Linked DNA regions of Ovis aries. The protein of the gene in region 2 purifies or fractionates together with the protein of the main gene of each other region. This does not show direct contact. Links are inferred from orthologs where the notes say so. Each region holds a gene or a part of one and is shown on either strand. Other genes may lie near its edges.

Region 1 (4,163 bases), on a different chromosome or scaffold from region 2:
TCTTCCAAGGAGCAAGTGTCTTTTAATTTCATGGCTGGAGTCACTGTCCACAATGATTTTGGAGCCCAAGAAAAGAAAGACTGTCACTGTTCCATTTTTTCACCATCTATTTGCCACGAAGTGATGGGACCAGATGCCATCTTCGTTTTTTGAATGCTGAGTTTTAAGCCAACTTTTTCACTCTCCTCTTTCACCTTCATCTAGAGGCTTTTTAGTTCCTCTTCACTTTCTGCCATAAGGGTGGTATCATCTGCCTATCTGAGGTTATTGATATTTCTCCCGGCAGTCTTGCTTCCAGCTTGTGTTTCATCCAGCCCAGCGTTTCTCATGATGTACTCTGCATATAAGTTAAATAAGCAGAGTGACAATATACAGCCTTTTGAGGTACTCCTTTCCCAGTTTTGAACCAGTCCATTGTTTCAAGTCCGGTTCAGAGTGCGAGTAGGGGTGGGAAAGGGATAACTTACAACTTGAACAGCAAAAGATGAAGGAAGTCCAAAAGAATTTACACATCAATGATAACTTTTATTTAAAAAGAAATATTTGTATGTTTGTATGTGTTGCAGCCCTTAAGGAAAAATAAAAATTTTAAAAGCACTTTTATTTGAAATTCATTGTAAATATATAATCTGAAACCATAAATTCATAGATTTTTGTTTCTTTAAATATGAAAGCTTTTTTTTTGTTCAAAGGCATCTGTGTCTTTGAATTATAATAACTTCTTCACTGGTTATCCTGTAACTGAAGTGTGAGATTGACCACAAATAAACGTTACGTAACACCACATGGTAATACTTCCATGTTAGCAAAGCCCCTTTCAGGCCTTTTCATGTGTCCCCCATTAAGAAGCCAGTGCTACATTGTTCAGAGCTGAAGGCCAACCTGTAGGAACAGAGAAGGCAAACTATGCCCTTGCCTCTTCTTGGCAACGTAAGTGAGACCAGACGTTTTGGTGGTGTCACACTGAAGCAGATTGGGGAAGAAAGGCTGGTGGTTTTTCAGCTTCAACATGACGGAAAATTGAGGCAAAAACAATTACCATCTGTAACATTCAAACAGAATTATGTCAAAACATAGTAGTTATTAATGGGCTACAGGATGATGAGTAAATTTTTCCACAAAATGCTTTGTTGGTTTTTAACCAGGAAAACATCTTGCTTGCCAGTTGTTAGAGAAAAGCAAGAGAAGAACAGAGTGAGTGAGTACATGCGTAGTCAGATCTGGGAGGCAGAAGACAGAACTGAGGCTTGTCATGCAAGATGAAGAAGGGAAACTCGGTCGGTTTTCAGATCGGGCCTCGCTGCGGGTGGCCGGGTGGGAAGGCGGCCTCACCCGCGGTTCTTCCTCGGTGCACGGACTGGCAGGCCAGGTAAGGACAAGGAGGCAGCGCTGCTTTCACTCCGCCTCAGTCCTCGCCCCTCAGGAGGCAGCTGTTGTGGCTTTGAGGCGTTTCACCACAACTTCTTCATACTCCTTTTGTGTCAGTAACCCTTCTGTTACGCTTTTACTTTCTTCAAATTTGGGCAACACAACTGCAATGTAGCCTTCGGTAGATGGCTAGAAAGGAAACAATATTTAATGTTGTTGAATGATACAGAAATCAGATAAAAAGTACTGGATGGGCTCCTACTTCCCCAGCCCTTTTTACCTTCTCTTGAAGAATAGATGGTTTATGGAGAATGTTTTCATTCACTTCCATCAACCGCCCCCTAACACAGCTAGTTAAAAAAAAAAAAAAAAATTGGTTTGAAGAAAAGTATTAACCTCCTTTCTTTCTCCAAAGTTGTGGTTCAAAAGTAACTTACCTAGATATGGTATATTCTTCTCCATCTGAGCAGTAAATCTTACACAGAGGTGCAAGTTCTGTGAGAAACTGTGCCCCCTGATAATAAAAGGGAAGAAAAATTAATTGATGTACATTTTCATTTTTCTTTGAGAGGCAGCCCTCAGTGTTACAATAGCATATATTCCTGGAATTTGTGTTTTAAGTAAAAATGAGTGAAGTACAGAAAAAAACATTCATTTCTTCAAACATTTATATATTAAATGCCTGCTACGGGTCAGGTAACATCCTAAGCTCTAGGGGGAAAAGCAGTCAAAGACACATGTGATAATAGTTTAGTTACATATTAAGAATATATTTTATCTTATTATACGTTATATTTAACTGTATATGAGAAAGCTCCATATATCCAAGTGTAAATATATCAAAAGGACAGGGAAATCTTATGAATAAACAATATAAAATCCAATATTATAGCAAACGACAGCAATGTCATACAGTTAGTTTCATTAAGATTCCCACTTATTTTTATATTAGAACTATAATAGATAAAGGGCTTCCCTTGTGGTTCAGCTGGTAAAGAATCCGCCTGCAATACGGGAGACCTGGGTTCAATCCCTGGGTTGGAAAGATCCAACCCAGGTACTGCAGCTACCCGCTCCAGTATTCTGGCCTGGAGAATGCCATGGATAATAGATAAAAGGACTTATTTATTAGGGTCAATCACTAAGGCTTTTTGAAGAGGGATCTTTGTTCTAATTTTTTTTTAAATGCACTTTAAGGAAAATGTGGAAAACAGAAAAGTTTTAAATAGCAGTTAAGAGTAATTTACTCCTTACCCTGTCTCCCACTAGTGTATACTGAATTTTGACATGAATCTGTCTGAATGTCATGGCACAGTTTTAGTTTCACGTTCTCCACTGTACAGATATATCTGGAGAGGTTCTGACAAATACCTACAAGAAGGCTCATAGGAAACGGATGTAAGCATGTTTCATGTATTGCTCTTTTCTTCCAGGAATTTTTACTGCAGTGAACATTTGAGGTCTAGATACTGTTCTTTAGGGCCTCTTTACCACTCACAATATCATTAGTATTCAGGTGTTGTTAGCACATGCTTCACTTCTCTGGCATGTGCTGACTCTGTTTCAAAATACTAGTCAGTGTGACTCCCCACTTTTGAGAGAAGCAGTTAGGGATTTATCCTAGATGGTTTCTCTACCACTGGGTCTGTATCAAAAAGAAGTGTGTTTGTTGTCACCTCCCTTAGAATAAATGATGAGCAGTGCTGAGATCCAATCAGCGTTTCTCTACAGAGGGTCCATATGCAGGTCCCTCTCTGTTCCTCAGTTGTAACAATGGTGTTACTGTTTTGGACAAAGATTTATCACAGGAACATCAGAAGCACTAACTGTTACTTGTAGTTTGTAGATTTCAAAGAATGGTCCATGCTTTTTAAAGTCCATTTTCTTCTTGAATGAGGGGGGGAAATCAATAATTATAAGGCAGGTTATTAGAGGCCTTTAGGCCTAGTATAAACAAGGGTCTTATAGAACAGTGAGGGTAATTAGCAGAAACTCTTTGTATGAACTCAGTAAATGAAAATCACTGCAGATGGTGACTGCAGCCATGAAATTTAAAGACATTCTTTGGAAGAAAAGTTATGACCAACCTTAACAGCATATTAAAAAGCAGAGATATTACTTTGCCAACAAAGGTCTGTCTAGTCAAGGCTATGGTTTTTCCAATAGTCATTTATGGATGTGAGAGTTGGACTATAAAGAAAGTTGAGCACTGAAGAATCGATGCTTTTGAACTGTGGTGTTGGAGAAGACTCTTGAGAGTCCCTTGGACTGCAAGGAGATCCATCCAGTCCATCCTAAATCAGTCCTGAATGTTCACTGGAAGGACTGATGTTGAAGCTGAAACTCCAATACTTTGGCCATCAGATGTGAAAAGCTGACTCATTTGAAAAGACCCTGATGCTGGGAAAGATTGAAGGCAGGAGGAGAAGGGGACGACAGAGGATGAGATGGTTGGATGGCATCACCGACTCAATGGACATAAGTTTGAGTGAACTCCCGGAGTTGGTGATGGACAGGGGGGCCTAGCGTGCTGCAGTCCATGGGGTCGCAAAGAGTTGGACACGACTAAGTGATTGAACTGAACTGAAGTCATCCACTCAAACTTCACCATCTGGGGTCTTTGTCAGGATATTTTAGTATGGTATTGAATTGTCCTTGGTGTGATACCCTCCTTTAATATGAATAATATTGGTCTTACATAGAGTTGTAGAGGATAGAGGTAACATTTTTCTATAACTGAACACTCTGGAGGAAGAAGGTATTGCTAGATGTGTACTAAACTGGCAATGATTTAG
Region 2 (3,517 bases):
GGTGACCTGTATGTTTTCACCAAAATACTCATTATTAAAATAAACACTATTCTGCACCTTGCTTTCCCCTGCCAGTGTTATGGATGTTCCTACAAGTCATAGATGTAGACCTACCTACATCTTTTTTTCACAACAGTTTTAGACATATATACATACAACAACACAAATTAAATGGGATCACATGTTTTAGTTTTTTTTAAATAGCTGCATAATATTCCAACATGTTCTACCATTTCCTTATCAAAGGAAATTTACTTTGTTTACAGTTTTGTTGATTTTCACACTCTGAACAAAGTCAACAAACATCCTTGTGCACATATCCTTATACACTGAAGTTTTATTTCTTCAGGACAGATTGCCAATAGGGGAAGTACTGGGTAGACCATTAAACTTTTATTTTCACAGTCACTGCCACATTGTTTTCCAAAAGGTTAAAACACTTATATTTCTACTGAAAATATAAGTAACTAGCCTTCTCCCTCCAACCGACAGACATTCTTAGCCTCAGAAGAATAAAGTGATGTCATTGTTGCTTTAGTCTAGAGGTAAAGTATCTTTTCAAATGATTCTTGGCCATTTGGAGTTGCCATTTTTTCAGCTGTCTGTTCAAATAATTTGTCCAGTTTTCTCTATTGGGTATTTATGTTTTTCATAAGTATAAATCCTATTTATGGTATTTCTTTTGCCATACATTTTTTTGGTACAGAGTCATACATATGTGTATATATAACCACACACTTTGTGTGTCTAAATCACAATGTATCATCCTCTATATATTCTTTTATTATTTTTTTAATTTACTTATTTTTGGCTGTGCTGGGTCTTCGTTGCCGCACACGGGCTTTCTCTGGTTGTGGCAAGCAGGGGCTACTCTCTAGTTGTGGTGTGCAGGCTTCTATTTACTGTGGCTTCTCTTGTTTTAGACCACGGCTCTAGAGTGCATGGGCTCACTAGTTGTAGCACACAGGCATAGTTGCCCACGGCATATGGGAACTTCTCAGGCCAGGGATCAAAGCTGTGCCCCTGCACTGACAGGCGGATTCCCAGCCACTGGACCACCATAGAAGTCCTTTATATTCTTATAGCTTGTTTTTTTTCCCCCCTTTAGTATTCATCAGGAACATTTCCCTTTGTCAATGAATATTCATCTTCCATAAAATTTCTAACATCTGGCTAGTAATAGTCCATCATACCAGATAAGCCATAAGACTAAACCAGTCCCCTCTAGATTTTTACAAAATATTGCCCATTTAAACAATGCTGTGATAACTACATATTTGTGCCCATTTTTGCTCATTCCTTGCATGTGAAAGTAAGTTATCTTTACAGGAAGAGGTGGGGGCAGGTGGGAAGAAATACTCAAAGGAACATGTAGATCCTCAAGAGCAACATCCTCATGTGAAGGAAAATCTAGCATGTGCCAAAACATTTGTGCCCTACATATATCCCCCTGACATACTGATTTACAATATGTTTTATCTGTGCAGTTAATCTGAGCACCAATTCTATTAGATAAATTCTGTTTTCTATTTCCTTTCTGCAGATGGTCAAATATAATAATAGCATTGTTGAAGGTTTTCTATATGCCAGATCCTATCATAAGGGCTTTATGTGACTAAACCTGTTTAATTCTTCTAACTAATTTTATCGATGAAGAAACTGAAGCACAAAGAAGCTAAGCAACTCATCCGAAGTCATACAACCAAGAAATGCAGAACCAAGATTTGTACACAGGTTATCTGTTCTTGGAGTCAGACTCCTAATCAATAGCAACACTGCTTCTCAGACAGGTTAGATGAATTACTCAGTCATTTAAGGAGTAAATGGCAGAGCCAGAATTTAGAACCAGGTTTCACAGCCCCTGGTGGCTCAGTGGTAAAGAACCCGCCTGCCAATGCAGGACACATGGGTTCCATCCCTGGGCCTGGAAGATCCCCTGGAGAAGAAAACAGCAACCCTCTCCAGTATTCTTGCCTGGGAAATGCAATGGACAGAGGAGCCTGGCAGGCTATAGTCCAAGGGGTTGAAAAAGAGTTGGACATGATTTAGCAACTAAACAACAGCAACAACTCAAGGGTCCCCAAAGCCAGTGTGCTATGACTTGGCAATAAATGAGAAGACAAAAGACTTTCATAGTTAGTAGAAAAACAGAAGAATTAGAGCACTGAACTACCTTTATGTCATCTAGGAATTCAATGTCCTTCCTCTGTATTGCTTTATTTGTCCATATTAAGGCACTGTAGGTCTTGGTCTTCTCTTCTTCACCTTCTTTCATATGTCCTATTGCCTCTCTAAACAAAAACAATAAAAGAAAGTTTGTCTGAGTTTATAAAATACAGATAAGCCTTGCCCCAAACTTCTCTTTCTTTAAAAATAGCTTTAGTGAGATATAATTTACATACAATTCCTCTGTTTAACTGAACGATTCAGTGATTTTTAGTACGTTTACAGAGCTGTGCAGCAATTACCACAGTCTAATTTTAGAACACCTTAATCACCCCAAAAGAGAAACTCCACACCCAACTGCAATCTCTTCTCGTTCCCCATTTCCCCCAGCCGTTGGCAACCACTAGTTGACTTTATAGACATCCCTACTGGGAACATTTTATATAAAATATGAATACTGTAAAATGTATAATATGTGGTATTTGATGTCTGGCTTCTTCATAATGTTTTTAAGGTTCATCCACGTTGCCACATGTATCAGTATTTTAAAGTAAAGTACTGATATTTTACCACTGATTTTCCACTGTATGGATATACCATTTTGTTTATGCATAGACATTTTTGTGGTTTCCACTTTTTTGCTATTGTGAGTAATGTGACTATAAGCATTCATGCAGAAGTCTCTGTGTGGATGTACATTTTCACTTCTCGTGGGTATATAGCAAAAGTGGGACTACTGGGTCAGATGGCTACTATATATTTAACCTTTTGAGAAACTGCCAAATTGTTTTCCCAAGTGGTACTAGTTACCATCCCACAGGAATGTACAAGGGATCCGATTTCTCCACATTCTCGCCAATACTTGCTGTTTTCTGTCTTTTTTGTTAAGTGGGATCTCATTGTGGTTTTGATGTGCATTTCCCTAATGACTAATGATGCTGAACACTTTTTCATGTATTCACTGGCTATTTGTATATCCTCTTTGGAGCAATGTGCACTTAACATTGTCTCTAGTTTTAATCGAGTTGTTTTCTTATTACTGAGTTGCAGGAGTTCTTTATATATTCTGGATACAAATCCCTTATCAGATAAATGATCTGTAACCAAAACTCCCCTCTTGAGACATCACCAGTGAGCCTACCCTTACCTTGTGACAAGCTGCAAGTCACGGACTTGGATTTTGTTAGATGAGTTATTAATTTTCTGTAGTATTAGAAAAAGAAAAACAATTAGCAACTCTAGTTCAGTTACAGAGTTGCAGAAACATGACAATTTCCATGTCATGAAGTGGTTTACCTGCTGAAGTTCCTTAATTTCTTGTGAAGTGAAATGTACTCTATGAGGATTCACC

The links. The genes of interacting proteins can lie anywhere in the genome.
Region 1: the proteins of PUS10 (region 2) and ABITRAM purify together in Homo sapiens (affinity purification with mass spectrometry; 3 studies listed by BioGRID and IntAct, counting the BioPlex papers as one, with this or other methods). This does not show direct contact. The link is inferred for Ovis aries from reciprocal best matches to the Homo sapiens genes PUS10 and ABITRAM.

The regions. Positions count from the first base shown.
Region 1 is NC_056055.1:14,337,550-14,341,712, forward strand, and holds the end of ABITRAM (protein Abitram), read right to left. Parts: intron 1,883-4,163; coding exon 1,806-1,882; intron 1,719-1,805; coding exon 1,649-1,718; intron 1,558-1,648; coding exon 1,420-1,557; 3' UTR 505-1,419; downstream 1-504. UniProt on the Homo sapiens protein: Actin-binding protein that regulates actin polymerization, filopodia dynamics and increases the branching of proximal dendrites of developing neurons.
Region 2 is NC_056056.1:63,066,880-63,070,396, reverse strand, and holds part of PUS10 (tRNA pseudouridine synthase Pus10), read right to left. Parts: coding exon 3,463-3,517; intron 3,370-3,462; coding exon 3,314-3,369; intron 2,292-3,313; coding exon 2,174-2,291; intron 1-2,173. UniProt on the Homo sapiens protein: Protein with different functions depending on its subcellular location: involved in miRNA processing in the nucleus and acts as a tRNA pseudouridylate synthase in the cytoplasm.